5 linked regions of the Kluyveromyces lactis genome follow. The protein of the gene in region 2 purifies or fractionates together with the protein of the main gene of each other region. This does not show direct contact. Links are inferred from orthologs where the notes say so. Each region holds a gene or a part of one and is shown on either strand. Other genes may lie near its edges.

Region 1 (6,647 bases), on a different chromosome or scaffold from region 2:
CCCACAATCATACATTCCAAGATGGATTAAGTTTCTGATCGTAGAACAAAGAACAGCAGGCTGTTCCTCTCTTTCAGTTCTACTCGTTGAAATTTCTTTCAACAACGCTTTACCTGGTCCTCTTCCCATTCATTTATACCGTTTATAATATCCACACACACACACACACATATTCACCTTTTGTACCTGCTAGCTCATAAGTTTTAACATAACTTGCTTCTATTATTTCCTTTATAACTTGTTGGATACAGGACAGAAATGCCGACAACTCTTTCACTCTATAACATGGTACTTCTACTTGATTTACCTCTTATGTACACTATTATCCTTACTGTCTTTGTTTACTATCTCAAGTTTTTTTTTTTTTTCTTGGTAAACTGTTCCTATCAGCTCCGAGGTCCGATGATTCAAAATCTTTCGAGCCATCAACTTTACATTGTACTTCAAAGTCTTTATAAAGAAGAACTTCGGTTAAGAAAGAACATAGATAATATATTCAACTATACAGCTTTCCTCACATTAGACAGGCAGCGAACCGGAAATGTCCAATTATGATGTTGTCATTGTTGGCGCGGGTATATTTGGATTAAGTACTGCTGTGCAATTGGCTCGTTCCAAATATAAAGTTGTGGTGGTTGATAAGTTTCAAATTCCATCGCAGTTAAGTGCGTCCTGTGATTATAATAAAATTGTTAGACTAGAGTACAACGATGAAGTCTACGCTGCACTAGCAGTGGAAGCAATGGGATACTGGCACGGTGAAAGTGACAAATTTTTGCCTCGAGGAATGCTGCATGATTGTTACTCTCATTGTGGTAGATTGAGTGCAATTCAAGATAAGAATACAAGCAGATATGCTTTCGATAATGACAGTTTACAACTTCTACAAACAAAGTTTAATAAGTGTAAAACTGTGGAACTACATAAAGAGTTAACTTGTGGTGGTAAGTTCCCTCAGTTTTCTCATAGTCAACGCTACGATGAGATTCGTTACAATCCAGACTGTGGTATTGGTTTGGCTAGGGATTCACTAGTGACCATGAAAAATTATGCTGAATCATTAGGCGTCGTATTTCATGAAAATGATGGAGCCGTGAGTGTGTCAGCGGGCACTGTTCAATGTGAATCTGGCAGAAAATTCCTTGGACACAAAATTATTGTTGCATGTGGTGCTAATACTGTATCACTTCTGCCTATGTATGGTCAGATCAGGGCTACTGGGTTATATGTAGGCCATATTCAACTGACGGACAAAGAATATCAAAAGTTAAAGGATATTCCAGTGGTCTTCAACAGTAGCTTAGGATATCTGTTCCCTCCAGATAAGCACACCAGGATATTGAAGATTTGCACTAGTGCGATGTCTGCATATGATGATATGAGCAACAAATCAAGAGCGGTCTATCGGGCCCTACAGCCCGATGCGGCACCCAGTGTACCAATAGAGGCAGTCGTGCGTATAAGAACAGTACTAGGTAAATATCTACCGGATCTAGTCTTCGATACCAAAAGAAAGTCAAAGTTAAGGGATATCATTGATTGTAAGATATGCTGGATCAGTGACACATCAAATTCTGACTTCATTATAGACATGATCCCCGACCTGAAAAACGTGTATGTATGTTGTGGAGACTCGGGACATGCTTACAAGTTTCTTCCTAACATCGGAAGCTACGTACAGCAGAAAATAGAAGGAAGATTAGCACCAATACTGGCACACAAGTGGAGGTACAGGGAAAGTGATTGGAACGGTACGGAAATCGAATGGAGAGTAGAACCCGAAAAGAAAGCATTACAAGAAATAGAATGGTACCAAGAAAGTTACGGCACCCCAAGACTGTAACCTTTCCGGCAATTGATATTATGCAGCAACAGAGTAATATATTGCATGGCAATTGTGGATCTGTTGGCAGTAAACCGGTATTTAAATATAAGTAATAAAGAAAAAGAAAAAGTATCTACAGCTTGGTACATGTAGTAGTAACACAATCTTGCGTTCAGCGATATGTTCACCCACAGCTTTGCGTTAAACGAAAACGGTACTGCTACTAACCGTGCTTTTGCACCTTGTTTATTGTTTACAACTCATCGGCTCTTCATTATTCAAGGTACGACATTTTTCACCGTTTAACGACAAAATTTTGAAAATCAACAACATTAACTATCTTTCTAAAAATTGACAAACGAAGGATGAATAAACATGTTAATAAGGAACGAAACGAAACGACCAGCCCAGACATATTGAGTGTCTAATTAGCTCTCGTCAATAAGGTACTCGCACATATCTCTTTCACGAAGTAACCGTTGGCAAACTTGATAGAACAGCTGTACGAGGATCAGAAAGGGCCGTTTAATTTTTCCTGTTGGGTTTGATTCAGAACGTATAGACTGTTTTAGCTGTGCTTTCTATACTTCGATAGCTCGGACAACAAGCATACTAGGCCCTGAAAACAGGGATCCCTTTTAAGATAAAGAAGGGTATATAAGTATATCAAGCTGGGCAAGTTAGGACATCTTTATTAATATTAAGGTACCGACTTTTCATTCAATTTCAAATATTCAAATCAAATACCGCAATACAAGAAGGAAATATACAGTAAACGATGACGGATGGTACTATAGAACATGCTCAGGACCAGTCGTTAATAGACGATGCCTCCACTTTGTTGATGTTCTCTAAAACATCGAATTCAAACGTCAACTCGAGCGATGAGGGTAAAGACGAGTTAAAAGCCGATATACATACACACAAAATGACACCAACTCCTTCCGCTGGAACTGCAAGTCAGGTCGGAAGTCAAGCTGGTAGTCACAGTGGGAGCGCTGGTGATATAAGTATGCATATGAATCCCATGACATCACCGGGCCCTGCATCTGTGGCACTTATCAAAGATGATGATGACGATGATCATCTAAAAGGCAGTCCCGTTGACAATGGTATTCATCGCAGCAACTCAAATAGCGAAAAGACAAAGAAAAGCGGGAATAAGAAGGGTATGGTTGCGGCTGCTGCGTTAGCACAAGCAGCTACGATGCCACTACCTCTTAAACGAAAAGCAGAAAACGATAGAAAACCTGCTGCGAACAACAGCGTGCCAATGCCTAGATCAGGTGCCGAGGAAAAATCTCCTTCAAAGCAAGCAAAGAGCGAAGATAAAGTGGTGGAACAAGAAGATAGTTTCAAAGAAGCTGTAGAGGAACAAAAACTTGAAAAATCTGAAACGGATAGGTTTTCTTCGGTTCCCGAATCTTATGTTGTTGATCCAGATGCTGGTATAATAACGTGCATCTGTGGCTATGAAGATGATGATGGATTTACTATACAATGCGACCATTGTTTCCGTTGGCAACATGCTATATGCTATGGAATTGAACATGAAAAAGATGCCCCAGATGACTTTCTGTGCAACATCTGCAATTCTAGGTTTGTAGATGTAAAGCTAGCAAAGAAGAAACAACAAGAAAGGATCAGAAATGCTCAGAATAAGAAGCGTAGACGCACGGCAAATGGCAACATAAAAGAGGTGAAGACAAAAGAGGCCACGTCTGGTACGAAAGACTCACGGAATCCAGGTACTTCTGAAGCGACGGACCATCGTATAGAACCAGAGGCCATTCCATCCGCAGATCCTCTTACGAACATTGTTTTAATAAATGCTAAAGAAGCTTATCCTACAGTGTATCTCCCTTTGACTTCAAATGATTACAAAGATAAATACGTTGAACTTTTCGTAAAAGACCACGCTGATGACGACTGGGTTATACCTTATCATAAATTAACGTTCAAACCTATTCCGATTGAAATTAAACCATATTCTGACAGTAATCACTCAAGATTGTTCCCTGGATACCCCAAGTTAGCTGTATACTTGAAGCAAGGATGTGATGAAGGAGACTACATCGATGAATTCTTAGGAGAGATTGATTTCCAAAGGAAATACTTAGAAGATCCAAGAAATAACTATAGAGTCTGGGGAACTGCAAAACCTAAAGTCATTATTCATCCCCACTGGCCGATTTATATTGATGCCAGGTTAAGTGGAAATTTAACGAGATACTTGAGACGATCATGCAATCCCAATGTTGAACTAGTCACAATCAAATTGACTAATTCCAATAACCAGGATGAGATAAAGTTCGTTCTTAGAGCTCTAAGATTCATTGATAAAGGTGAAGAACTTCACATCAAATGGGACTGGGACCTGAGACATCCAATATGGAAGTTAATAAATCATAATGAGAGCATAGATTCCATTGAAGAGCCACAAAGGTATCTTTTCATACATTCCATAGACACCATTCTAGGAAGTTGTGATTGTGCCTGTGGAAGTAATAGTAAAGATTGTTACTTGCTGAAAATCAAACGCCATTCTCAATCACTCTATAGATCAGTCAAATCAAAAATGAATAATCGATACAAGCTTAACGAAATATTACACGGAAACAAATTGCAAACCAAAAAACAGTCATCTATTCTCAGTAAATTAGCGCATGCCACAATCTCAGACGCAGCAAGGGCCAATGAATTTCTACTTAAATTCAATGCCGTTAAGCTAAAGATGTTAGAACCGGTCTCTGACACTGTACAGAAGAAGTCTTTCCATACGAACGCTGGGAGTATCAGAGGGAACAAATACAGGGTTTCAGTGACGGAGTCCAAAAACAGGGTTGACCCCCTTAAAGAAAGTCTTTCATTCATTTCAGATCCTTCTAAGTTCGATGAATCACAGATTAAACACCCAGCCGATCTTCCTATTCCCATACAGACAATAAGTACTGAAGATAACCCTCCAACTGACACCACCATAACAAATATAACCGAAACTATATCAAACCAAGGACAAACTAGTGTCACTTCCGATTCTAATAGCATTAAAAATTCGTTGAAGCGTGGAATAGACAGCGTTCCCGGCCCTTCGTCTACTATCCACCAAGCTCAGATGAAAAAGAAATTATCGTTTGCTGATTATAAGAAAAAAATCAAACCTGCTTAACGGATGACTTCCTTGGTATCGAAACCTTCATTAGCACGCAAACTTTTTTTTCAGTTCGGGATGTACCTATAGGTAGTCAGCGGTGGTAATAAACGGGGAGAGTGTACTTAACAATTTAGCCTCCTTCTCATAAAATGAACTTTTTTTTGCGAGTTATTTAGGAATTTGGACGGTGGGTTCGATTTGCTTTATCGATATATGTTGGAAAACTAGTCTATACTTTTCTATTATTTATTTACATTGTTTATAATTAACCAAGAACTGACTACTTCTTAGGTATTCTCTCAGAAAAGCGTATTTGCCTTAGATAAATGCTTTTCTCTTTTGTTGAGTAAGGGTTGGGATAAAACATCCCAACCTTTGAGAATTTCAAGTTCTTCTTGCATAGTTTTCTTGTATTGAAAGTTTTCCAAAATGGGTTCCAACTCGAATAGAGCTGGAGTAGCTTTAGAGGACTTCTTAGAACCAGATCTTAACCCAGATTTTAAAACTCTACCTTGTCTCCAAGAATCTGTCCAATAGATGGCTGCAGCATTCTCGTTTGTCATTCCTACTTGCTTTTTGAGGCCACTCAACAAAATGTCAATGTTGTTAGTAGGGGTTGTAGTGTAGTGTGTGTAGAATTGATATTTTCCCTGTAGGTTCAAAAGATACAACAGAAAATCTGCTTGAATCACAGGGTCCACTAGATTGTTTTTAACGCACCCACATAAACTGAGTGATAGCATTCTTTGCTTGCTCATTGCTTTGGCAGGTAAAGATATTCCAGGCGTATCATATAGAAACAACCCTCCTTTATAATCACTGATTCTGATACATTCACTAGTGTTCCTGGTGACACCTGCCTGATCACCTGTCTTCGCAACCTTCTTGGGTTTGCTTCCATCCGAATGATCCAAGCCTGCATATCCAGTAAATCTTAAACTATTAACGAGTGTTGATTTCCCAACATTAGGCATGCCGCCAATTAGCATTCTATAACCCAGTGGTAGTCCCACAGTCTTCTTCCCCGGATCATTTTTCTGGAGAAACTTATCATACTTCCATTTTAATATATGTAAGAGATCTTTAGCGCCCTTTTTGCTTCTTCCATCTATCATGATATATTGTTCGTCCATTTCCTTATGCCATTTATTTAATGATGCAATAATAGCAGGATCGCATTGATCAGTTTTGGTGTAAACTACTAGTCTGTCAACTTTCTTTTCTAAGGACAAGTAATCGAATATGAGGTTCCTAGTGGCTATTGGAGCCCGGCTGTCTCGAAGTTCAACTAGAAGATTAAGCTGAGGAAGGAGATTTTGAGCTCTTTGTATAGCTTTCTTTTGATGTCCTTTGAAGTCACTTGTTGGTATATTGAAATCTGGGAATACCATTCTTGGTACAAATGTAGACTGCAGCCGTCTACCTGAGTATTTGACACATTTTACCGAAACGTTCATATCTTCCAATACAGTAAGTTTGTGAACAACTATTACAGTTAATGGAGTTGTCGTTAATGTTTATGACAAAGAAGTAATCAGTAGTTTGTCAACTTTCTTTTGGTGAATCATGATAGGTGATCATTAAAGCTTCTTTCAACATGAGAATTACTTTTTACTGCGTTCAGAACAAGAACTTTGAAAATACTCGATGAGCTCATGAAAAGAGGAA
Region 2 (6,832 bases):
TGTTCAGAGTTATATGGATGGAAATGGATAACTTTAGGAAGCAATTCTTTCTGTAAATTAAGTCTGTTTAGAACACGATCTTTTAAATCAATGCTATTTGCTATTCCGATGATTGTGACGTTGATACCGGGCTCCTTAGCCAATAAAAACAGATCCAGTATAATTTTTGTTGCAGATGATAGCACTGTGGTTTGCTTGATTAACTTATCCATTTCGTCCAGGATAAAGATAAAATGAGTATTTGGTTTCGATCTACAAAACGACTTTAAATTCTTCACACTGTCGCAGGCTTTATGATGTTGTTGCTTATACTTCCCATTGACGATTTCTAAAAGTAATTTCTGGAATATACATTCCGGTTTCGAAAGGGCAATACAGTTGACCTTGGCTACCGCGATAGACTGGAATATGTCTGACTGTGTTTCAAAATAAGATGTATTCAACAGTTCTGGGTCATGTTTTGTGACTTTTTTATTTTTTGGATCCAAAATGATCTCATGAAACTTATCTCTCAGTATGAGGTCTAGCTGTGCCGTTTTCCCTGTTCCTGGTGGACCTGTGATGTACAGCGAATTATCGGCAGATTCCCTGTCCGATATTGAATTGTGAAAAAAATGCATGATCTCGTCGTATTCTGACTTTCTCGTAGCAAGCCAAGTCTGTTCCAAGTTGGAAACTGAAGACTGTTGCAACAGCGATTTTGTCTTCGAAAATATTGGATCGGATCCAAACATCAACCGTTTCGGTTTCAAATCTGATTCAATTGTGTATGGTTCATCGTTGATGTTTGTCAAATTTGAGCTGACTATTCCTAATGGTTTTTTTATTTGCTTTTTCTCAGGAGATGCTGGAGGTGTTGTTAAACCTGAAAAGCGCTTCGCATCAGGCGTCATGTTTTCTGAGTTTCCACAACCTAGTTCACCATCACTTTCAAACGCTAAGAATGGACGTTTCCTTCCATTAAGCATCATTATGGTTTGACTGGTTCCCTAAACTGTTTCAGCCTAGTTCCGTGTTGTCAATTTATGATCGTGTGACTAAATATCGGTGATTGTGAATTCGAACCAGGTATCATAATCAAGTAGCTGAACTTACCGTACATATATATAATGCCTGATCTCACATACTTTTTTTTTTTTCGCATAATTTACTTAATGCGGTTTTCGATCTGTCGCAGATAATTACACTTCCTAAAAGGGTAATTACACGTTAAGACATCAAGTGTTTCGAGTCTTGCTATGAATAGGGCAAGAGTCAAGAAAAAGCGATATTTGGTGGCCGAATACAAGGGAAAGAAGGACCACCTTTCTGGGAGAAACAGCGTAAGGGTAACTCATAGGACCAGCTTTTGTTTCTTGGTATTGTTTGCAAAATACAAAGGAGAGTAAGGAAAAGATACCTATATTTCGCAATGTCACCTGCTACTGGATGAAGAGAGAGGACAGTGGCGCGGTATGCGCATTTTTACCGGATACAACAAGACAAAATACATATCCTCAGCTAACCTTGACTATGAAGTTCCTAACGGTCTGTCCCGACCTTCTGTATCCTTTTCCTCGCACCCCATTGACCTGGGAGGCCACACAGAGAAATTGGTAAAAAAAAAAATCTATCCACGTGATCTAAACACTACGTCACGTTATACGAAGCATCCACTATTTTTATTCTTTCCTCACAACCCGAAATTCGCTTCGAACCCCAACGGCGACTCATTCCCCTCCCTCATAAAAACAAAGAATCCCAGATAGTAAATGTCAAATGCTCAGTTTTCGATTTTTCAAGTATTTCAACTTTTTTGGTATCATCAAGGAAAAAAAAAACAAAAGCATCAAAAATCAAAAAGTCACTTTATTTAATAAAGGAATGAAAAAGAGCTCAAAACAAATCAAGCTACATACTTTAAGCTATCCTTTTTAAAGAAGAAGGAAAAAAAAGCAGACACAGAAAGACGGTAAGAGCTGCTTCTTTTGGATGTTTTGGAGGGCAGCACACAAGGCAAGGTTTTAGGAGACTACAGAATCCAGATCGAGTAGCCGGCACAGCTAGCGTTTATTGTACACACTGTGATATATGAGTGTTCACATTAAGTAGAAGTAAAGCCGAAACCAAAGAGAAAAGCAGTGTAATAGGTGCAAACAAAAGAGTTTGGATCAGAAATAGTGAAGTACTTGGCACGCTATTTGAGAATTTTAAAAGTGAAGAAGGCAAATAGCGTTGAAAACAGTTGCTTCTTTCCTTTCAGTTTTCAGTTCTGGCCCTTTTGAATTTGTTTTGTTAAGTTCGTTTTTATCCCTCCTCCTTTCATATTCTTCCATTTTGATTATCCCATGCCTATTCAGCACCGTATAGGTGAAAAGAAGCGTTACCACTACGGTGGTGGCGCTTCAGGACGATATAGTTCTTCGTCTTCGATAGGTCGAAATCCTGGACAAACAGCACTTTCTGGAGAAAGGGATCGTGGCCACTCTCAGGAATCTGGTAATGGTACACCCAACTCGAGTAGTGGAGACGGTTCTCCAGCTCATATTACGGGGAGTAGACATTCTAGGTATGATCCAAATGCTAATGTTAGTGGTCGTAGCTCGATGAGCTCACGGCCTGGATCAAGATTTAATCCTAATGTAACGATTTCAGATACTGTACCAACTTTAGTTAAAAGAGCTGGCTTGAACGATAATGCGAGTAATAACAACGGATCATCCGGTTCGAGATGGGCTGGGTCACATAGTCGTTACAATCCTCAAATATCGAATAATATGCAACTCTCATCTGGTGCAAATGTACCGTTACTGGGGAACGGACAACTGATTCCAGCTACCGCTCCTGTTAGTGGCGTTAATAGCACACACTTTTATCCTTCGGGCAGCGGGGCAGGCTCCAATCCATATTCTTCGTACGTAACGGGAAAATCACAAAGGCCAAGGAGTTCATTTGATACTTTCCCATCAAATGATAACATTCACGGGATGAACGTCAATGGCAGTGCGAACAATACGAATAATAACTTATCAAATATCACATACAAGAACTCAAAACCTTCATCCGCAAAATCATCAAAGAACATTACTTCGTCAGTAAGCGGCTCAAGAGGATCTTATTGGGGGAGCCGTAACGTAAGGACTGGTAAATATCATTCAAATTCAAGATATAACGGGTTCAAAAAATATTCTTCAGACTATGGCCCTCACGATATGACTGACATACCTAAATCGAAGAAATCTTTCGAAACGTCCCATTCGCTAGGTTCTAGTTTAATCAATTCAGTTCCCCAGACTACAAAGAAAGTGGAAGAACAGTTACATTATGACCATAAAAGAATAGATATTAGTGCAGATGAATACACTGGCGATAGTGACGCAAAGTCCTATACCAGCGTACAGGACAAACATGACAGACACGATTATGGCTCTGAATTAGAAGATGACTCTGAAATTGCAAGCAATAACAACCTAAAGGAGCTGGCAGAAAATCATGATAAAAGTTTTACTCTCCTAACCAAAAAAAATTATGATCAACAAGTATCGGAAGGCCAGCCCGTTGTGGCTATATCAACTGTAGATAAGGAACTCCCAGAGAGTGATCACAAAAAACCTCAAGTGAAAGAGGAAGAAGAAGCTATCGAAAAAGTAACCCTGACGGAGCAACCGACTGTGGAAGAAAAAGAAGATATAGATGAAGACTTAGATGAAGATATGGCTGAAGAAATGAGTACAATTCAAGAGTCTACTGGACCTCTCGCCGAAAAGAATCACATTCCTAACAGGGATATTCTTCCACACCCAGAACCTTATCCAGAACCTTTAGTTCCAATTGAAAAATGTATATTTCCAATGTTGGAACCGGAGATGAAGTTATGGCTTCTCAAAAATAAGCCGAGAGAAGAACGCGTTAAGAATCAGAAGTATCTTTTAACAAAACCTATTGAATATTTATTTGATTATCCATTCTTTGCACAGGCCTGGATTATTCATGATCAAGCTGTTAAACCAATTATAACGAAGAATTTGACAAAGATTAAGCGTTACGAATACTTAAGAAATCTACAGTTGAAAGATCAATTCTTCAAACTTCAGGATATATGGGAAAAGAAATGTGACCAGATGACGGAGCTCAGTGAGAGTTTCCATAGATCTGAACCAAGCGGAGAGCAGAATAAATATGAGAATCTCCAAGCAAATGTTGAAAATGCAAATGAGGCTTTTGAACAACGCCCCACAAGCTCACGAAGGAGGAATAGGGCTGATTTTGTTGATGATAATGATATTGAAAACGTATTACTACAAATTGATCCAGATTACAAACATCATCAATTAGCAGCGAACATTCCTGCTATGACATTGAATCCTGTTGATAAATTTGCCTGCAAATTCAAAGATGTGAACAACTTGGTAACAGATAAAGATGCGTGGGCAAGTAGGCTCTTGACTGATCGTATTGATTCATTCACTCCTTATGAGCATGAACTTTTCGTTGAGGGTTATCTAACATATCCAAAGAAATTCGGCAAGGTTTCACATTATATGGGTGGATTAAGAACTCCTGAAGAGTGCGTCTTACACTATTATAGGACAAAGAAGAAGAGCAAGTACAAGAAACTATTGCTTGAAAAACACAAGAAAAGGAAGGCCAGCATTGGACGTCGTAAAAAAGACAAGTTCGATATTAAGAAAAAAGATAGCGAGGATAAGGTAGAGACTGAAGTACCATTACCTTCCACATCAAACGTTGAAACTCCTGTTTCTCAAACATCTGTTTCTGAAACTCCTGTTGAACAATCTGTTCGTACTGTTGAGCAAGTTGTCCCTGAAGTAGACCATCCTCCTCCTGCTGAAGTTCATCCTGTATCCACTTTAGAACAACCACCTACTTTGGAACAAGAACCTAAATCCACAGAAGAACCGCCAACTTTGGCCAAAAAGGTTGAACCATCTTTGGCAACTTTTCAAGAACAACCTGTGATCAATATAGAAGCAAAGAAGGAATCCGATACTGAGACAGAAAATGAAGCAACGACGGACGGCGATTATAATATTAAACAACAGGTAATGGATTCAAGTGTAAATGTTTCTGAACCAGTTTACATGGTACAAGAACAGGTGTTACTTTCCAATAAACCATATGAAGATATTGTGCCAATGTTAGCTGATATGACATCAAAATCTGTAATCAATGAATCTGTAAAGAATGCTGATCATGCGGATATTGGATTTGATAATACTGAATCCCATCTTAAACCAGAGGATGAGGTTTCTTCAAAGCATTCACTTTATGATCAATCAAACGTCAATTCTGCAGACCAACCTATGAAGAAGAAATTGAAACAAACAGAAGCTGTGCATAAATCGAGCTATTGGAGTGTACAGGAAGCAAAAAAGTTCCCAGAATTGCTCAGAGAGTTTGGTTCAAATTGGACATCGATATCTCAGAAACTTGGAACAAAATCAACAACTATGGTTAAAAACTATTTCCAGAGGAAAGCGGAACAAAATGGATGGTATGCTCTTGTTGAAATGGGCAACAACCAACTTGCATCCTCATCAGTTCTATCATCAGGAGACCAGTCTACCAAACCCGTTGCTATTGCTCCGGCTCCCAATGTGAGTTCAGCTATTATCGTGAACTCATTGCCTTCGCCTGCAACGGTTAATAAGCCTGCGGAAAAACCATCCATTGAGCCACTTCCGCTACAAACGATACCGCAGCAACAAAAACCTGCTGTTGGATTTTTCAATGATTCTAAATTGTCATCCATTCACAAACCATCCTTTTCTCTAACCGGAAATGAAGATAGTTTTTCGAGATTACCAACTCCAACCCAAGGTTTGCCTCCCCAGCATTCACCTGTTATCACATCATTCAGTGTTCCACATACTCTTCCAAGACTGAATACTAATAAACTTCCTGAAATTCAACCCTCAATCTCCAATGCTTATTCGAACCTTGGCAAACCACAAACTCCCTCTGTTCATTTTTCTGCGAATGCTTCTGAAACTCATCATGCTCCAGTACAATCACATACAATTACTTCCAGTAGGAGGTCTTCAATCAGAAGCCTATTGAACGATGGCGAAGATTCGGAAACTAAAACTAATACGATCTTAAACACATCACCAACTGTTGTGGCATCACCGATTGGGCCATCAAATTTACCAATTTTAAGACCAATGCGCAATGCTTCTGTTTCTCCTCCATCAATTCCTCCCTCTAAGGGAAGTGATTCGGTTGTCTCCAAAGTAATTGTTCAGGAGTTATCTCATAATGTACCAACGAAACAATCAAATGATTTATCGAAGCCAATGGCTCTGGCACCTACGTTGCCTCCTGCTCCGTCGAATCCACCTCCAACCGTGCAGGCAGTTCCACAATCGATTAACTTTGCTAACGATCCTTTAGCCGCACTTGCAGCGGTTGCTTCATCCTCTGAAGCGTTCGGCCTGATGCCTACAACAAACACGAGTAATCTTAATCAACAATCACCACACCAAACTCAGATCAATTCAAGCACATATAATCAACAGCGCCAATGAATTTTACTGTCATTATTATCAATCATACAGCCTTCTGGTTTCAGGCCATATTTTTTTTATATTCGCTCACATGTATGAACGTGTCAGATCCTATCTATGTACACAAATTTGTAACAATTAGTCACTTAATGCACTGAAATTTTAAAGTTCGTTTCAGATAAGCACACCATTGTCCATCTCTTGCTCTGTCGGTTCTACAGATTCCAAGCCTCTGCTGACACTAACTCGCTACATCATATCACATTCAACGAACCGAGGTAAAATTTCAAAATTTGGCATAACGTCAACATTTCCAAATAATGAAA
Region 3 (6,762 bases), on a different chromosome or scaffold from region 2:
AAAACCCTTATAGGAACCAAATCCACTAAAAAACAACCAATCCATTTAAAACTTTAAACCTGATCAGGTATGACTATACCACCTTATTCATCGGGATGATAATTAGAACATCTCTTAAATCGTTCTTCTTATGATTTTATCCATTATCTCCGGAAACTCCAGTTCGCATTTGTTCCTTATTGAAAATTCCCATTCGCAATCCCCTGATTATGTTACGTCTTACGGTGCACATACTCTTTATAAAATCTTTGGCCGCTAGTTGTGAATACTAATATCAAACAAGAAAACCCTTGGAATAAATTAGAGAAACTATACCAAAACAATGTTCAAATCTGTGAAACTAGCTAAAATCAGCTTTATATTTTATCTTTTATTTAAATTATATGAAAAATTTACAGCTTTTTTTTTCATGTTTCTCCATTATAAAAGGTGAATAGCACCAACGGAAGTGGGCCGAAAAAAAAAACGCTAACAAGAAAACGCTTCGAAGAAAAATGGCTGGTAACAGTTTTTTTTTCTACTCTATTGTTTATCTCGAAGGAGAATCGAAGGTTTATGATATGATGGTGTGTTTTAGGTCATTTCATACGAGATGGAACTTTTTTTCGGATTTAACGTTACTAAATCAGACTCTGGCCAATCATGTTCCCGGAAAGACAGTCGCATAGTACGGGTTGGGGAAGTGATGAATGAAGGGCGTGGAAAATCATCTGCAAAGGTCCGAGTCACGTGTATATAAAATCCACGTGACTTCTATTTTCCGAGGAAGACGTTCTTCTTCTATCTTTTCTTATGTATTGTTACAGTGTTAAGCTTCTTATGCTATGTATAATGACCCTACCAAAGCGCTTTGGAGGCATTCAACCATGGTAACATTTTGGAGCGTGATTGATATTTGGCAGGGACAAAGCGTGTGTTAGCATTATTTTCGTTTTGGCCAGGTCTTTTGCTATCACGTAAAAGGACCTTTCTTGTTCTGTACAAGGCAGATGTAGATGCCGGGATAAATTCTATCATATTTTTTTCAATCCAGTCATTCATCTTTGGGTTTAAATCTTGCAGGTTCAATCGCGATAGTTTAATCCATGTTAGTGGGAGTTCATAGAATTTTACATACTCTGTTTGGTCAATTTCCGACAATTGCCTCCAGGGCAAGGACTTCGAGTTGTTTGCATTATCGCTGCCGCCATATAAGAAGATGAATTTGAAAAGATTCCATAGTTGTGGGTACTGACCCTTTTCCACTTCTTTAAATTCTGATGATTGTTTCTTTAACTCTTCGGTGCTGGATTTGATAATGACACTTATTTGAAGATCTAGCACCCATTTTGATCCATCTTCAGTGAAGTAGTACACAGGCCCAAATTTATCGTAATTCTCAAGATCTTTGAAATCAATGACTCTCAATCCAATTGGATAACGCTCTCTGATCTTTAATCTTTTTTCTACTTCGTTTCTGTTTCGAAGTTCTTCTTCTTTTAATAGTTCCTCTTTCTTGGCCTGTTCTAGCCTCTGTTCCTCCTGTTGCTTCAATTTCTCCTTCTCTTCTACTCTCTTCCGTTCATCTTCAGCTAATCTGTTTAAGAATTCCTGTTCTTTCCTTTTCTTCTGTTGCAGTCTCTTTTGCCTGTACTCTTCTTCGCTCTTCAACCTTGCGGCTCTCTCTTCTTCGCTTTCTTTCGGAAGAATAGGCGGAGTGGATAGTTGATGTGTAGGAGATGCACTTTTATAACGATGAGTTAATGATGTTGAAGATGTTGATTTTGTTGAGTCTAGTCTCTCTAGACTTGGCCTGACTAGGGAAGCAGTTTCTGCTGTCGTTTGAGAATCAGGTAATAATTTTGGCTTTTCCTCATTGATATTTCCGATTTTAGATTGTGGTTCTGAATGATAAGGACTATCATCTTTACGAATTTCCAAAGAACGATCTTGCTCTTCTCCTTTGGTGGATGGAATTGACGATATTTCTCTAGGTGAAGGAGATTTCCCTTCAGAATCTTCCTCCCCCTCTTCATCGCTGTTGTTTGAAACTTCGTATCCATATTTTGCCCTCACCGCTGCTTTGAGTAAATTCACTTCATCAGGATCCGTTAGACCAAGAGAGCTGTGGTTAGCATAATGCAAGGCAGTTTTCTTTCGTTTGTCAGTTTTCTGTGGATCCGCCCCGGCTTCGAGTAAAAGTTTCACGACGTTGACATGTCCACGCCCGACAGATAGCATCAACGGAGTTTGACCTTCTTTGTTACTCATATTAACTTGTGCGCCAAAGGCTAAAAATAAACTTACTACGTCATCATGACCATATATGCAACTCTCAAGGAAACATCTGAAATCAGGTCTACCACCGTTTTCAAGGTACGAACCGACGTATGCTAATTTCCCCTCTTTGGAAGCTTTCAAAAGCTTGTTTTTACCCAATTTTGAACTGATATCAGTCCAATAAAAGTCGTCATCATGGTTGAGTTGTTTGTCTATATCATCTGAATGTCTTGACATGGAACTAGACTGTAAGGTGCGATGGGAATGTTTTATATATTTCCTCGTTGCTCTCTTTAACATATCTTTCATATCGTGCACTATTCTTCTATCATCATTATCCATGTCTGATTCCTCCTCAATAGATTCAATTGCACTTAGACCTTTGGCATTTACCATTGTTGGATCTGCTCCGTGATCTAGAAGATATTTTACAACATTTATGTGGCCATTCGCGGAAGCATCAATAAGAGGCGTATCTAGAAACATATCATATGATTGAATATTAACATTAGCTCCATTTCTTACGAGCAACTCGACAATTGCTGAATGACCATTTAGAGCTGCTTCGTGTAGTGGCGTATTTCCAGCGTTGTCTTGGTCGTTAACGTCATAGCCGTCTTCTTCAATAAGTTTTTTTGCCAAATCATATTTGCCTTTATCACAAGCAATTTGTAGTTTTGTCCTGCCTCCGGCATCCCTATGTACTCCACGCTTAGTCTTCGGTATCTTTTTCCCGGCAGAATGTTTTTGCTTCTTGTGATTGGAGGAGTTTTCTATACTAGAGGATTTGCGCTTGTGTTCATTATAATGTTTCACCGGAGAGGAATCTTCGTGAATCGCACTGCTTGATATTTTAGCTGTACGAGCCTCATCTAAATCGGAAAGATCAGAATCGGATTCCCCATCATTTGTCAATACTGGAGCACTTGATTGTCGACTGTTGTTTCCGCTTTCAAGTTGATCACCTCGTATTAGTCTCCCCATTTTTGGTCTTGGTGGCGATGCAGGCTCTGTCGGTGCGTCACTTTCAACTTCACTGAGTGCACTACTATATTCTTCGTCAGAATGCTTATTTCTCCCTACTTTCGGTAGATTTTTCTTTTCTTCTACATCCGTTTCCTGTTTTATTTCATTAATAGGTCCTTTCGTTTCCGCTTGTCTCACCGGTATTGACTCTTGATTATTCAAAGGAGATCCAACTTTCTGGTCAGAGCTGTTTGCTTGGCTAACGACATAGGGTTCGTCTGATGGTTGTTTTGTACTGTTCTGATCAGTTGAAGTTACCTTTTGAGATACCTCTTCCTCCTTTACTGGAACATTGGTAACAGAATAATTCCCATTTTCACCCACTGGCTTAGGACTTTCTCGCTGCTGTTGCTCTGATCTTTCTCGTTCTTCTCTTCTCTCTTCGAGACGAGATAGATAACTGCCCAAGCTTCTTTTTTTGACAGGTTCGCTCATGGTTATTACTCGGTTTTTTCAGAAAGGTTTGAAAGTTATGAATGGCCTCTGATTTTCCATAATTCGCACTCTTCTGAATGAATCCTTCGAGTAACGTAAAGTCCGAAGTATAATAAGTGGGAGGACAGTATTATCTAATGGTTTCTTTGCATTATTCTCCCTTGTCACCAGCTTTATTTACCTTATATCATAACTTAGAAACCTTCAAAAGTTTAATGTTTTTAAGAACAGAATTATCACTTGGTACGTTTTGATAGTTTGCCCAAACAGAAGATCCGCGGCGTATTATTACAGAGTAGTGTTTAGGCTACTATATACTTTGTATGGGTATCCCTAAAATTGCGTTTTATATCATACAATCTCACAGAGAGAGTTCACCGAATTCCGAGATGGACTCGAATGACTGTTTCCGACAGTTATCATTGATTGAGTCACAATTGTTAAGCCAATCTTCCCATTCCATTAGTTGGAATAACAAACTCATATTTGGACTTATTTCTCTGGCGACAGACTTCAATTTATTATATGCTTCATTCAAGCTTAATTTGTCGTATCTCATCATGTAAGCTACTATCAAGGAAGCTGATCTTGATACTCCACATTGACAGTGGATTAGCACCTTTTTTTTGCTGGCATAGGCATTCTGTATTAGTTCTGTTAGTTGTGGTAGGTTTTTAGTAATTTGTGAGGTATGAGACCAAGTAAAATGATAATAGCAACCTTGCTTGGATAGAGGCAGTTGTTCCTTGTAGTTGGTAATCTCCTTTGCAACGTTTATTATTACGTCGTAATCCATTACTTCTTTTAATGATGGTTCAGAATACAAATATATGAAAGGAGGGACGACAAGTAACGGTCCACTGGGATAATATTTCTCTCTGTATGATTCTGAATAGCTCGGTGAGTCTTCATCAGAATGGGTATTGTATGGGATGCTCTTCATATCATTATCATAATTTGTAGAGGACATGGGCGTATTTTCTTGAAGAACCCAATACCGTGTCGTGCTTTCCATTGAATCATTACTGGGCGTCTGTATCTGAGGTACACTTGTCGCAATTGTCGTGGCCCTCGGCCTATTGTGAAATTTGGTGTTGATTGTTGGAAGTGTTGGTTTATTGAAAGGCGAGGAAGACGTAGACGATGAGGGTGAAGCGGCTGAATCAAAGCCCGAACTGCCAGACGGTAATTGTGGTGTAGAGGGTGTGGATCTGGCAGATTTAAGCTGTGGCGGTAAAGTGTATATCTGTGCTTCACTTACACGTTTAGTAAGCTGGTGGCGCAATGGCACTGCGAAAGTATCATTGCTTTCATTTGGTTTTGAATCCACCATTATTAGTTTGTTTTTCGTTGGGGAATCACCTATTCGAAGACAAAGGTTCTTTGAATTTTTATTTTGCATCGAATGATGTGACCTTGTACTTATTCTCTGCGGTGCCTCCATATCGCTCGGTGTTGGGTATTGAAAAGGACTTGCAAGTATGATCAAATGTTTAATATAATTATAACCAAATAAGTTTCTTACCGAATTTCTTTGGCCAGGAATTCAAGATGAGATAAGAACGGTTTTCTTATGGGTTACCAGCGTCTAGGGAAATAATCAAGTACCAGCTTTAGTTTTCCTATATCTTTGAAGTAACACAATATTCAATAATTTCAATAAATTGCTGTACAAGCTTTTCTCAAATATCCTCTAATGTAGTAGCTAAGATCTCACAATCGTTCCCCGTTAATATGTTCAAAATATCCCCTCTGCCGCCTTGAATGTGTGTGTGGTAAGTCGAGGAAAACCCACCGGCGTGCAATTCGAAGGTTTAAATCTATGCCAATAACAATGATAACTTGTGGACCTACAGCAGTTGATTTATTTGACGATAAAAACAGACAAATGAACTTTTAGCTCTGTTTCGGTACCTTGTTTCAAGTTTACTTCTTGTGCTTAGTATTTCAACATTTCTGCTTTTTTTACTTTTTCTTGGGGACACAGGTAGGTCCTAAAAAAAGAAGTAAATAAATAACATTCTTGATGCAGATGTTGCTGGGGTCACTTAAGGCTTATAACTCGGCCATGAAAAATACAGTTTGTGGTACTTTAAGTATATCTTATTGTTATCATTATATATAATTACAAGCAAATTAGTTGCTGTGGCATACTACAAGACATTGTAAAAACTAAGTAAGGCCAAGGTTGAAGTTTTCCGATGAGTTATCTTGGTGTCTGACTTAAACAAGCTTCTGGCAGACTAAAAAATGGCCTTTATATTCTATTGCGCATGGTTATTTCCATGCTTTTTTCTGAAAGGTGAGTTGTCTGGATCTACAGAAATTTGCTGTTGTACTGGGAGTACTTTCTGGTTGTTAAAGAATGGGATACTGTAATACATGTTTCCTCTGACGATCAATTCGAATTCATATTTGATCAATTCTTTCCAACGGTCAATATCATTCTCTAGTTTGTGATTGCCCTTTTCATCTTGGTTATCGTGGCCCATTTTCTTTTTGTTACCATTATCATCGTCGTCATCGTCATTATCCCCGTCTTCATCATCACCATTATTTTTAGGTGCACCAGGATTGAGCAATTTAACACTGGCAACAGAAACATCATAATTTCTGTTGATCAATCTTCCTCTAAATTGTAGTTCACTTTCGAGATTGTATACTGTCCCGAGTAGTATGGTTTGGTATGGAGTTGAATATAACTTGTCTTCATTTGAACTAACGTCAACGTGCTTAGTCTTAGCAAATATATCTAGTTCCACGTCTTTTATACCAATAGTGAAGAGACTTGGATTAAACGCAGTCGCTGTGATATCGAATACTAATTCATCCAACGAAACTAGAACGTTATCCATGGCCAACAATTGGAAATCGTGTAATTCTTTGTTGGTTGCCAGTAGGAATCCAGAAATGAATCCAAGAGTCAATAGGGAGGCCACGATGAAAGAGAAGTAAACGAAATTTTTAAACTTAGACCATGAACCCTTCTTGGTGTAAAAGTTGTGGGGAGAAAAATCACCGTAGAAATCAGATCTTTTCCTG
Region 4 (5,805 bases), on a different chromosome or scaffold from region 2:
ACAAACGAATCTTCTTCTAAGCCAGCTCAAATTAACATTGGTATCAATGGTTTTGGTAGAATCGGTAGATTGGTTCTACGTGCTGCTTTGACGCACCCAGAAGTTAAGGTCAGATTAATCAATAATCCATCCACAACACCAGAATACGCTGCTTATTTGTTCAAATACGATTCTACTCACGGCAAGTATCGTGGTGAAGTTGAATTCGACGATGAACGTATCATCATTCAAAATGACCATGTTTCGGCTCATATCCCTCTATCTCATTTTAGGGAACCAGAGCGTATCCCATGGGCTTCCTACAACGTCGATTATGTAATTGACTCAACCGGTGTCTTCAAGGAAGTCGATACAGCCTCTAGACATAAAGGTGTCAAAAAAGTTATCATTACTGCTCCATCAAAGACCGCGCCAATGTACGTCTATGGTGTTAACCACGTTAAATACAACCCATTGACGGATCACGTGGTCTCTAATGCCTCCTGTACTACCAACTGTTTGGCTCCGTTGGTTAAGGCTTTGGACGATGAGTTCGGTATCGAAGAAGCCTTGATGACAACTATTCATGCAACTACTGCTTCTCAAAAGACTGTCGATGGTACCAGTTCTGGTGGTAAGGACTGGAGAGGCGGTAGATCTTGCCAGGGAAATATCATTCCTTCATCTACTGGTGCAGCTAAGGCTGTAGGGAAAATCTTGCCTGAACTTAATGGTAAGATCACCGGTATGTCTATAAGAGTCCCAACAATTAATATTTCCCTGGTTGACTTGACATTCCGTACAGCAAAGAAAACTTCTTACGATGACATTATGAAGGCCCTAGAACAAAGATCTCGCAGCGATATGAAGGGTGTTTTGGGTGTTACCAAAGACGCCGTTGTGTCCTCTGACTTCACATCCGATTCACGTTCATCTATTGTTGATGCCAAGGCCGGTATTGAATTGAACGACCATTTTTTCAAGGTCCTTTCTTGGTATGATAATGAATATGGTTACTCTTCAAGAGTGGTTGATTTATCCATTTTCATGGCTCAAAAGGACTTCGAAGCTGGTGTTTAAGGAGACGCTTTTTTTGTTTGATTTCAAAATCCCAGTAGACTGACAAAAAAGTACTCTTCGTTTGATGAAGACTATTCTCAAAAGTTTTCGACAATTTACAAAATTATGATGGTACTTCAAAACAATACCTTTTGTACCTCCATCCGCCATTATTATTTAATATTCACAGCAATTTAAAGATATTCTATTTACTAAAGGATATCTTCAGAAAATTTCTTAACACATATAGACAAGTTAAATAAAAACCCATACCATGTAAGCATAATGAAGTATACGATCTTAATATTAATTGGTAATAATGTATTTATTTAACCTCGAAGGCACTTTCTTCGTGCTCATAATTTTACCTTAATAGTGTTAATTTAGTAGTATTCTAACAACTCCATATAGGATATCTATTTACAAAGCGTAACCAAAAGAAAGAAAAAAAAACAAATATATCAGATTTCCGCACGTGATATTTTAGTATAGTTCGCCCACTTTAAAGTCATCCTTCTCCATTTGTGCCAACCTAGCCTTGTCCTCTTCGACATTTAACTCTTTTATCAGTTCCTCTTCTTCTTCAGTTAGGCCAGTGATGTCCTGTGTTGGGATGAGTTCTGCATCCATACGAACACTTGGGGCACCCTGTAAGTATTTGATGTTCTCCAAACATCTAATCCGTATATTTTCAAGAAATTTCTTGGAATTTTTGTTTTCATACAAGTCATCTAGTGTTGGATGTAATGAATAATCTGGGCCAAACCAATCTCTAAATGGAATACCTTCTGGAAGTTTAGGTTGTAGCAATACCCCATTTAATAATCCTGTTTCATACGTCCACAATCTTGAAACATTTCTTGGTGTATAACCACCACCTCCAACCACAAGCATTGGTACTCCAAACGACTTGACAAACCGTACACATTCACCATGAGCCTTGATATTTAAGTTAAAACAGCCAAGTCTATCGTGGCCAAGGGAGTCGGCACCACATTGCTGAATAATTACACTGGGCCGAAAAGATGTTATTACGGGATCAATAATGCTTTTGAATAAATTAATGTATGAGTCGTCTTCGATCCCATCTTGTAACGGAACGTTCAATGCAAAATGCTTACCTCTGGAGCAACCTATCTCATCCAAATCACCTGTACCTGGAAAGAATTCGCCGTTATACTTATGGAATGAAACAGTGAACACACGGTCAGTAGTGTAAAACGCTTCCTGTACACCGTCACCATGGTGCAAATCTATATCGATGTATAACACTCTCGGGTGATACCGCAGTAGATTTACTATGGCTAACACGATATCGTTAACGTAACAGAAACCAGATGGATTGTTCTTTTTCGCATGATGTAGACCACCAGACCAATTGATAGCTATTTCACTCTGACCATTAAGTAGCTTTCTAGAAGCATCTAACGATGCCCCAGCATATAAGGCAGCATAATCAAACATTCCTTGGAAGATAGGACAATCGTCACCAATGTTGAATTTCTCGAGTGACCCTCGAGGAAGTTTATTCAATGTATCTGGTGTTACCTTCGCTAAGAAATTGACATAGTCCTCAGAATGAAATTTTGTTAACTCATCCTTTGTTGCTGACCTCGTCTCATATAAGTCCATCACTTTGTGTAACCCGTATGCCGAAACCAAATGGTCGGTAAGCATAAGCCTAAAAGGTTTCATTGGATGCTTGACACCGTAATGATATTGTGATACCTTCGAATTGAAGTGGTACGAGACTCTGGGACTATAGGAAGTCCCAAAATCACAATCAAACAATGGCTTCTCAGCTTCCGTTTTCTCATCAAATTTAAGTGTATCCGATGACATCTTATGAAAAGGATTCCGCTACCACTTACCCGTAATGAATAACTGCCACTCAGCCAGAATTGATACTTGGTAGCTACAATCTGCAAAGAGTTGGGTATTGGCTCGGTCGATTGTCTATTCGACCTTTCCGTACTTTATTTATGTGTTGTTCTGTTATTACTGTATTTTCAAATTCCATGTTTTTTTATTCCAAGTGGATCAGAACCATAAACTCCGTACATCACATGAACCAATCACGTGATAACAACGTATCAAGATGAAGGATGTACCCCACAATTCTAAAGAGAGATCAGCATCGTTGCAGATTCACGTATAATACACTGGTAAAGCCCTTCACTTTCCTGCCAGTTTGGAGCCTGTGTATTCCCCTGTTCACAACGAATTCCTACCTAGATCAAACTCGGATTTGAAAATAAAAAATCCCAGCTTCATCACGAAATACACCATCTTTTTAAGACAGAACCATTGTTAAACGTGGATGGAACTGAGAGGAAAAGCCGGCAATTTATATATAGTTTCATGACATTGTAGGCACAGAAAGTTTGTGAAAGTTGTGGTGATCGAAAAAAATATACGGATTTGTTATATCTTGTCTGGAGCCAGAGATATTGACGTCGGCGGTTGTTTTTTTATTGAGTGGAGTAACAAGGTGAAACGAAACTGAATATAGCTGCGTCTCGAAAGAAATTGTCCGAGCAGTGAAAGGAGTGAAACTGGTATTATGTCTTTGAATTGGGGGTTAGTTGATTTTATGTTGGACAACTATGCGTCCATCACTGCATCCCCGATCAATGGTAGCTTACACGACATTTATGTCATTTATTCCATGTTCATGCAAAATTTCCTATGGAAGAATAACGAATGTGGTGAGACGTATTACCAGTTTTGTGAAGATTTGAATAAAATTTCAGAAGTATGTGGTGGTTGCATGAATTTTGAAGATGATAGTGGCGGGAATATTTTTGGCCAAAAGATTTCATTTGTTGATGGGGACTCCTTGAAAATATTGCAAAAAGTTCATTATGACCAAGCTATTAAATTGTCATTATCACATACTGGCAATAAAGCCAAGCAGATTGCGATCGATAAAGATTCTGTTCAGGTTAAAGAAAGAAAAATTGAAAGCGAACCCATATTATTAAATAAGTTGATGGGCATTTTGGACCAGAGTGAAATTGTAACCCCTAATGCTAAGTGTCTAAGACACTTAAATCAAATCCTCTCGTTAGAACTCGGATCCACTAAGTTATCTAAAGAACAGGCAAAATTAAACACTAAGCGATCACCTTTCATACCAATATGCTCAGATCCGAAACATGTGTCACTACTATCCACCGTCATCAATACTGTTAACAACAAAATCATGTCTTTGCAAGGTGAAAAATTAAAGAAGATTGAAGCTGATTGTCCGGATATTATCGAATGTTCGAACACGCACATTCATTTCATACCAAATTTAAAGCCACAGACGGATCTTTCGTTGGGAGATTGTTCGTATTTGGATACTTGTCACAAGTTAAGTACCTGCAGATACGTCCACTATCTGCAATATTATCCTGAATCTCTCCAAAAACAGAAAATTGAAGAACAAAAAGAGCAACGCAAGCAGTATTCGTTCTATACGCATGGAGAGTGCTGTTCTTCATCGTTTAAGAAGCTTCTTCCTCCACAATGGATCAAATGTGACGTCAGAAAGTTTGACTTCGATATTCTTGGTAAATTTTCAGCCGTTATTGCAGATCCCGCATGGAACATTCATATGAATTTGCCCTACGGTACTTGCAATGATAATGAGTTACTGCAACTACCATTTGATCTCTTGCAGGAAGAAGGTTTATTGTTCTTGTGGGTAACCGGCCGTGCTATCGAAGTAGGGAAAGAATCATTGCAGAATTGGGGTTACGAAGTAATAAATGAAATATCTTGGATCAAGACAAACCAATTAGGAAGAACAATTGTGACAGGTAGAACTGGCCATTGGTTGAACCACAGTAAAGAGCATTTACTCGTCGGGGTCAAAGGCAATCCGGAATGGCTAAACAGAAAAATAGACATTGACTTGATCATTAGCGCAACTAGAGAAACCAGTAGAAAGCCGGACGAATTGTATGGAATCATTGAAAGACTTGTCGGTACACATGCCCGTAAACTTGAAATTTTCGGTAGGGACCATAACATCCGTCCTGGATGGTTCACGATAGGAAATCAAGTGACAGGCTCATCTATCCATGAAGTGGATGTGAAAAGGAAATACGAAAGATTCATGGAAAAATCAAAGAATTCAAAGACAAACTAAAGATGTAATACTCTCTTTACTTCAAATGTCCTAGCTTTTATTTGTCGATACACAGTATCCATTAGGAGTCTGTATGTGTTCCTTCTTACTTTTCTTCTTTTTTTTAATTTATGTCATACGCCCTTGTAATTACAAACGTTACATTACCCACAAGTTCGTGCTACACTTAAGCAGCAATAGGCAATCTTTTGATTTCCATAACCATGGCTGATCCTACGGGCGTTCTATTAGCCAACGCGCTTGTTTTTTGAATTCAATGCAACAAGCTCTCAGCTTAATCTAGCATTCTATATATTAGGAACGGTGTTTCTGTCCACTACACCAACCCCAGCCGGCAAGTCCCTGCAGCAGCTACTAGAATGACATGCGATGGCTCAGGTTTGCTAAAAACCCAAAATCAATTACCGCCAGGCCGTGAAACAAATATTGTTACCCGGACTTGAATTCCTGAACGTCAATATTACACTGTTTGTCAATATGTATAAAGAGATGCAACAGAAACAGAAAATAAAGTAGGAAGTACTTCTGAATCTGTTGCCAGTGTGAACGGTATCGTATGAGCTACTTGTGGGTTTGTAGTCCCGGCGAGACAGCAACACCATTTAAACAAGGAATAGGAACCTTTTATG
Region 5 (5,050 bases), on a different chromosome or scaffold from region 2:
ATCAACACCGAAGCTCTCGAATACGTTAGCATTATTGCTATTGTTGATTGAAGGAGAAGCAGGAGCTGGTGCATCATCGAAGTCCAATAGATCGATTTCTGGTTCCTGCGCGGAGACTTTTCTTTGATGTTCACTGTTACGGATTCTTTCTCGTAATAGCTCTCTTCTCTGTCTTCTCTGTTCGTCCACAGCAGACGATCTACGATCTCTGTGAGCCGTTGGAGTAGGTTCATATTCGAAGTCGTCCGAGTCATCAATGGTAGAAGACGATCCGGCGAAAGAGTCTGCATTGATGGAAATATCGTTATACAGAGATTCTGAGCGAGATCCGGCAGATCCGGCAACGATTTTTTGTGTATTTTCCGCGGTCTTGGAACGCTCGCGTTTCAAGTAAGAAGTATCCTCTATCAACTGGATGATATGTTCACATTTCTTCTTGATACCACGCTCATGTAATTCCATCTTCCCATCACTACTGAAATCAACACGATACTGCATCGTTTCCTTGGTTAAGATATGTTTATGTGCTTGTAAACAGGATAGCACTTGATCAGTCTCTTTGCCCCTATCTGACCTCATCAATAAATACTCTAACAAGACCAAACATTTCAACACAACTCTCCATTCGTTACCGTAATTCACGTACTGCTTTCTGGCCTTTTCGTACATGTTCTTAGGTCTTTTAGCCATATGATCGACTAATCTTTTCAAAGTATATTCAGTCATCAAAAACATTGAAACCTCATAACGATGTCTCATCACTTTAGCCAAATGTTTTGGAGTTGGACCCCAGGAATCGGTATTCGTAGCACGTCTAATATCGATCTGGTATGGTTCATACTGAACTATAACGTTCTGTGCAAATCTTGCAGCATTTCTGAAATCATGCAGACCCAAATTACCCAACTTTTTAGAAATAGAATCCATCCTTACTGATAAGATATAGCCTGTCCAGCGTGATCAATAGCGTACCACTGCAGATACAACGGGTTACCGCACTGAAATGACGAACGTATCCTCACTGATCATTAATCATGATCATTATTTTATGTTGAAAAGTCTTGTAAAGGTTGCGCTGATTGCAGAGGGCAGCTAAATTGGGAAATTTCAGGTGAGAAAAGGGAACAGGCCCGGGTAACCATTTTCATTGGGTAGCTACATTTGTTAATGGCCAAAGAGGAGAGATGATGATCTAGTCATAAACTTCCATTGATATAAAAGGGTGTTGTATATATGTATTTGAGTGTCTTCCATTACCAATTGAGTGAGATCAAATACACTCAATTAGTCAATGGGTTGTTATAGACATAAGTATATATATAGATATCCCGAGCGATTGAAGTGTGATAAAGGGAAGAAAAAAGGATTAAAATGAAAAAAAGAGTCAATTCCCTAGCTTATTTCCTTACAATTCACCAGACTTAGCGATAACAATTCTGGCCTTGGTAGCACCGGAACCGGAACCCAGGGATTCGACCTTCTTGACGACATCGAAACCATCAGCGACTTCACCGAACACGACGTGCTTACCATCCAACCATGGGCATGGAACAGTGGTGATGAAGAATTGAGAGCCGTTGGTGTTTGGACCAGCATTGGCCATGGACAACAAACCTGGCTTTTCGTGCTTCTTGACGAAGTTTTCGTCTGGGAACTTAGCACCGTAGATAGACTTACCACCGACACCAGTACCGTGAGTGAAGTCACCACCTTGCAACATGAAGTCTGGGATAACACGGTGGAAAACAGAGCCGGCGTAACCGAAACCCTTTTCACCAGTAGCTAGAGCTCTGAAGTTTTCAGTAGTCTTTGGAACAACATCGTTGTACAATTGGAAAACAATTCTACCCAATGGTTGACCGTCAGCTTCCACGTCGAAAAATACCTTAGACATTCTTAGTTTAGTTTAGTAGTTGATACTTGGTGTGTTGTAACCAAGATTTTGCAAACCAGAACAGAAGAGCAAGAACTGGACTTGAATTGGAATTGGATTGAAGTTGAATCAGAGTTCAATTGAGAAAGTGGTTGGTAGTTGCTAACAAAGGGTGGCGTTGGCTTCGCAAAATGGTATTAGGTGATGACATGCGGCCGGGTAACGAAAACGGAAACCCCATTATCTTACACATCAACCGCATTGTCGCCGCAAGTCACGTGACACACGTGACTTGCATATTTTGTTAACATCGCAAGGCACGGAGAAACATGCCTGAGTTACCCGTGCCTCAGCTGAAAAATTCTTCGAGAGACAAAACCTGAATCGAAATAATGCGATGAGATGAGATGAGATGAGATGAGATAGCCAAAGGTTGGGTAAATATATAGATGCTGATTTGATTCATCGCACTCCAACGAACAACCACGTATACCATGCTAAGGGGAACTAGAAGACCAGCAAACTCCACTTTGAACACGCCCGTTGTGGTACATACGGTGGGCACGCCAACATACCTATCTAAAGACGAAGTACTACAATTCCTAGCAAGTTTCATTGCCGAAAAGGAATCAGTACCAGGCGTGACACTAGCGTCAAGCGGAGCTTCTACAACCCAGGGAGCAGTAACTTCTGGTGGCATTAGTGCCGATGAAATGGCTCTAGATACACAGCTTTCCAGTGCTCTTGCGCAGCTGAAAAGAGTCGAAAGAGATTTCAAAGGTCTACCACCTCAAGTAATGGAGATGGAACCCTCCAGCACAAGTTCTACTGGTAATACAGAAGAAGATACGGTGGCTAAATCTGCTACTGGAGGGAAAAAGATCAAGTTTGCTGATGTGCCGGAATCTTCACAAACCTCCAGTGACAGCAAACAAACATCCTCATCCTCGGAATCGTCATCAGACTCTGAATAGACGGCTGATTTGCACTACCCACGAATCGGGAGGGTATTCATTCATTATATATATATATATATATATATATATACATACATACGCTAAGTTACATACAGTGACCGTTATAATCAATGCATAAGCTTGGAGCTCACCCTAATTGCAACATACCACGTGACTTCAAATACACAACTTTTTCTTTTCCAATGGGCTCACCTGCGGTTTCTTTCACACAGAGAGAGTGTGAGTCAGTTGGAATTTTTCGTCAAAGTGATATGACATCAGTTGAAAAGAATATCAACATTAACATCCGATTCCTTACTACCAGGTATATATTTGTACACACTTGTAGCATTCATCGTTGCTCTACTTTGCTTCTAATATACTTATCTCATTTTCTTGATCGTATTTATTCTAAAGCGATAAAGAGGATCTGAATCTTGCTTAGGAAGATTAAGAAAGAATCACTACTTATAATATACTATAACTATGGGTAAGAAAGTCGCTGGTGTCTTAGGAGCTACTGGTTCCGTTGGGCAAAGATTTATCTTGTTGTTAGCTGACCATCCAGATTTTGAATTGAAGGTTTTGGGTGCTTCTTCCAGATCTGCAGGTAAGAAGTATGTCGATGCTGTGAACTGGAAACAAACCGATTTGTTACCAGAATTTGCTAAGTCCATCATTGTTTCTGAATGTACCGCTGATGCCTTCAAGGACTGTGATGTTGTGTTCTCTGGTTTGGATGCTGACTATGCTGGTCCAATTGAGAAGGAATTCAAGGAACATGGGTTAGCTGTTATTTCTAATGCTAAGAACTACAGAAGAGAAGAAGATGTGCCATTAATCGTTCCAATCACCAACCCAGAACATTTGGATTTGGTTAACGCGAACTTGGTAAAGGCCAAGCAAGAAGGTAAGCCAAGACCTGGTTTTATTATTTGTATCTCAAACTGTTCTACTGCTGGTTTAGTGGCCCCATTGAAACCATTAGTTGAAAAATTCGGTCCTATTTCTCTATTGACCACTACCACTTTACAAGCCATTTCCGGGGCTGGTTTCTCTCCAGGTGTCCCAAGTATCGATATCTTAGATAACATCATCCCTTACATTGGCGGCGAAGAAGACAAGATCGAATGGGAGACCAAGAAGATCTTGGGTGCTTTGAGTCAAGATAAATCTCAAATTAACCTATTGAGCGATGACGAAATCAAGGTTTCTGCTCAATGTAACCGTGTTGCTGTCTCTGACGGTCACACTGAATGTATCTCTTTGAAGTTCAAGAACCAGCCAGCTCCATCTGTCGAAGAAGTAAAACAATGTCTAAGAGACTATGTCTGTGATGCTGCTAAGTTGGGATGCCATTCTGCGCCAAAACAAACCATCCATGTCTTGGAACAAAATGATAGACCACAACCAAGATTGGACAGAACAAGAGACAATGGTTACGGTGTATCTGTTGGTAGAGTCAGAGAAGATCCTGTATTGGACTTCAAAATGGTTGTATTGTCCCACAACACCGTTATCGGTGCTGCAGGTGCAGGTATCTTGATTGCCGAAATTCTATTAGCCAAGAACATCATCTAAACGCAAAATGATAATTCTTCCTGAAGCAAATTTGAAAGGCAGTTTCTAGTGCTCCGAATATTTTTGTTTCTTTCACGTAATCATGTATAACCAGATAAAATGTAATTCATAATTCATATTTCGTTACAGAATACCTACAATGGGCACTAATCCATTTCAGCGCAGAGCTTACTAAGATGACGATCTGTTTATCATGGAATTAGTACTGCTCGATGAAGAGACTTTATATGAGTACATTTTCGAACGATATGTGGAATTAGAGGCTAACGCAAACGATTTATCTCAAGATCTCGGTATTCTGTCGAGAAACGAATCAGAATTAGAGATAGACATTGGGCCACATCGCCTAGTGACCAGGAAAAAAAAAGCACCAGAAAGAGATGAGTATACATTTAGTATACACCAAAACCTAACCTCTTTAAATTCCAACCGTGATAATAATAACTCGACGACTGGATACGTCATTTGGACCACGTCTACTTTTATTCTCAAATGGTTATTATACAATGACAACGCTACCATATTCACAAGAGGGGGTGTAAAGGATGAGGTAGATATTACATCCATTTTTCAATGTCAGCAAGATGATAAACTACGATATGTCCTTGAACTGGGCACTGGAACATCACCAATGTTTCCT

Evidence for each region.
Region 1: the proteins of SNT1 (region 2) and KLLA0_F02882g purify together in Saccharomyces cerevisiae (affinity purification with mass spectrometry; 6 studies listed by BioGRID, with this or other methods). This does not show direct contact. The link is inferred for Kluyveromyces lactis from reciprocal best matches to the Saccharomyces cerevisiae genes SNT1 and SET3.
Region 3: the proteins of SNT1 (region 2) and HOS4 purify together in Saccharomyces cerevisiae (affinity purification with mass spectrometry; 5 studies listed by BioGRID, with this or other methods). This does not show direct contact. The link is inferred for Kluyveromyces lactis from reciprocal best matches to the Saccharomyces cerevisiae genes SNT1 and HOS4.
Region 4: the proteins of SNT1 (region 2) and HOS2 purify together in Saccharomyces cerevisiae (affinity purification with mass spectrometry; 3 studies listed by BioGRID). This does not show direct contact. The link is inferred for Kluyveromyces lactis from reciprocal best matches to the Saccharomyces cerevisiae genes SNT1 and HOS2.
Region 5: the proteins of SNT1 (region 2) and CPR1 purify together in Saccharomyces cerevisiae (affinity purification with mass spectrometry; 5 studies listed by BioGRID, with this or other methods). This does not show direct contact. The link is inferred for Kluyveromyces lactis from reciprocal best matches to the Saccharomyces cerevisiae genes SNT1 and CPR1.

What each region holds. Positions count from the first base shown.
Region 1 is NC_006042.1:266,559-273,205, forward strand, and holds KLLA0_F02882g (uncharacterized protein), read left to right. Parts: upstream 1-2,603; coding exon 2,604-4,994; downstream 4,995-6,647. Other genes in the region: protein kinase IME2, read left to right, coding at 1-38; KLLA0_F02860g (NAD(P)/FAD-dependent oxidoreductase), read left to right, coding at 542-1,843; putative GTPase MTG1, read right to left, coding at 5,279-6,436; KTI12 (Kti12p), read left to right, coding at 6,635-6,647.
Region 2 is NC_006039.1:323,049-329,880, reverse strand, and holds SNT1 (Snt1p), read left to right. Parts: upstream 1-2,327; coding exon 2,328-6,527; downstream 6,528-6,832. Other genes in the region: AAA family ATPase CDC6, read right to left, coding at 1-971. UniProt on the Saccharomyces cerevisiae protein: Part of the Set3C complex, which is required to repress early/middle sporulation genes during meiosis.
Region 3 is NC_006042.1:339,728-346,489, reverse strand, and holds HOS4 (Hos4p), read right to left. Parts: upstream 3,721-6,762; coding exon 838-3,720; downstream 1-837. Other genes in the region: KLLA0_F03641g (cytochrome c oxidase subunit IV family protein), read right to left, coding at 235-235; KLLA0_F03597g (dual specificity protein phosphatase family protein), read right to left, coding at 4,082-5,164; VAC7 (Vac7p), read right to left, coding at 5,985-6,762. UniProt on the Saccharomyces cerevisiae protein: Unknown. Component of the Set3C complex, which is required to repress early/middle sporulation genes during meiosis.
Region 4 is NC_006042.1:845,542-851,346, reverse strand, and holds HOS2 (histone deacetylase HOS2), read right to left. Parts: upstream 2,881-5,805; coding exon 1,522-2,880; downstream 1-1,521. Other genes in the region: KLLA0_F09141g (type I glyceraldehyde-3-phosphate dehydrogenase), read left to right, coding at 1-1,059; IME4 (mRNA (N6-adenosine)-methyltransferase), read left to right, coding at 3,602-5,176.
Region 5 is NC_006040.1:1,413,780-1,418,829, forward strand, and holds CPR1 (peptidylprolyl isomerase CPR1), read right to left. Parts: upstream 1,895-5,050; coding exon 1,406-1,894; downstream 1-1,405. Other genes in the region: ENT5 (Ent5p), read right to left, coding at 1-927; DNA-directed RNA polymerase I subunit RPA14, read left to right, coding at 2,368-2,847; HOM2 (aspartate-semialdehyde dehydrogenase), read left to right, coding at 3,316-4,410; RKM5 (S-adenosylmethionine-dependent methyltransferase), read left to right, coding at 4,604-5,050. UniProt on the Saccharomyces cerevisiae protein: PPIases accelerate the folding of proteins. It catalyzes the cis-trans isomerization of proline imidic peptide bonds in oligopeptides. Involved in histone deacetylase complexes, suggesting a function in chromatin.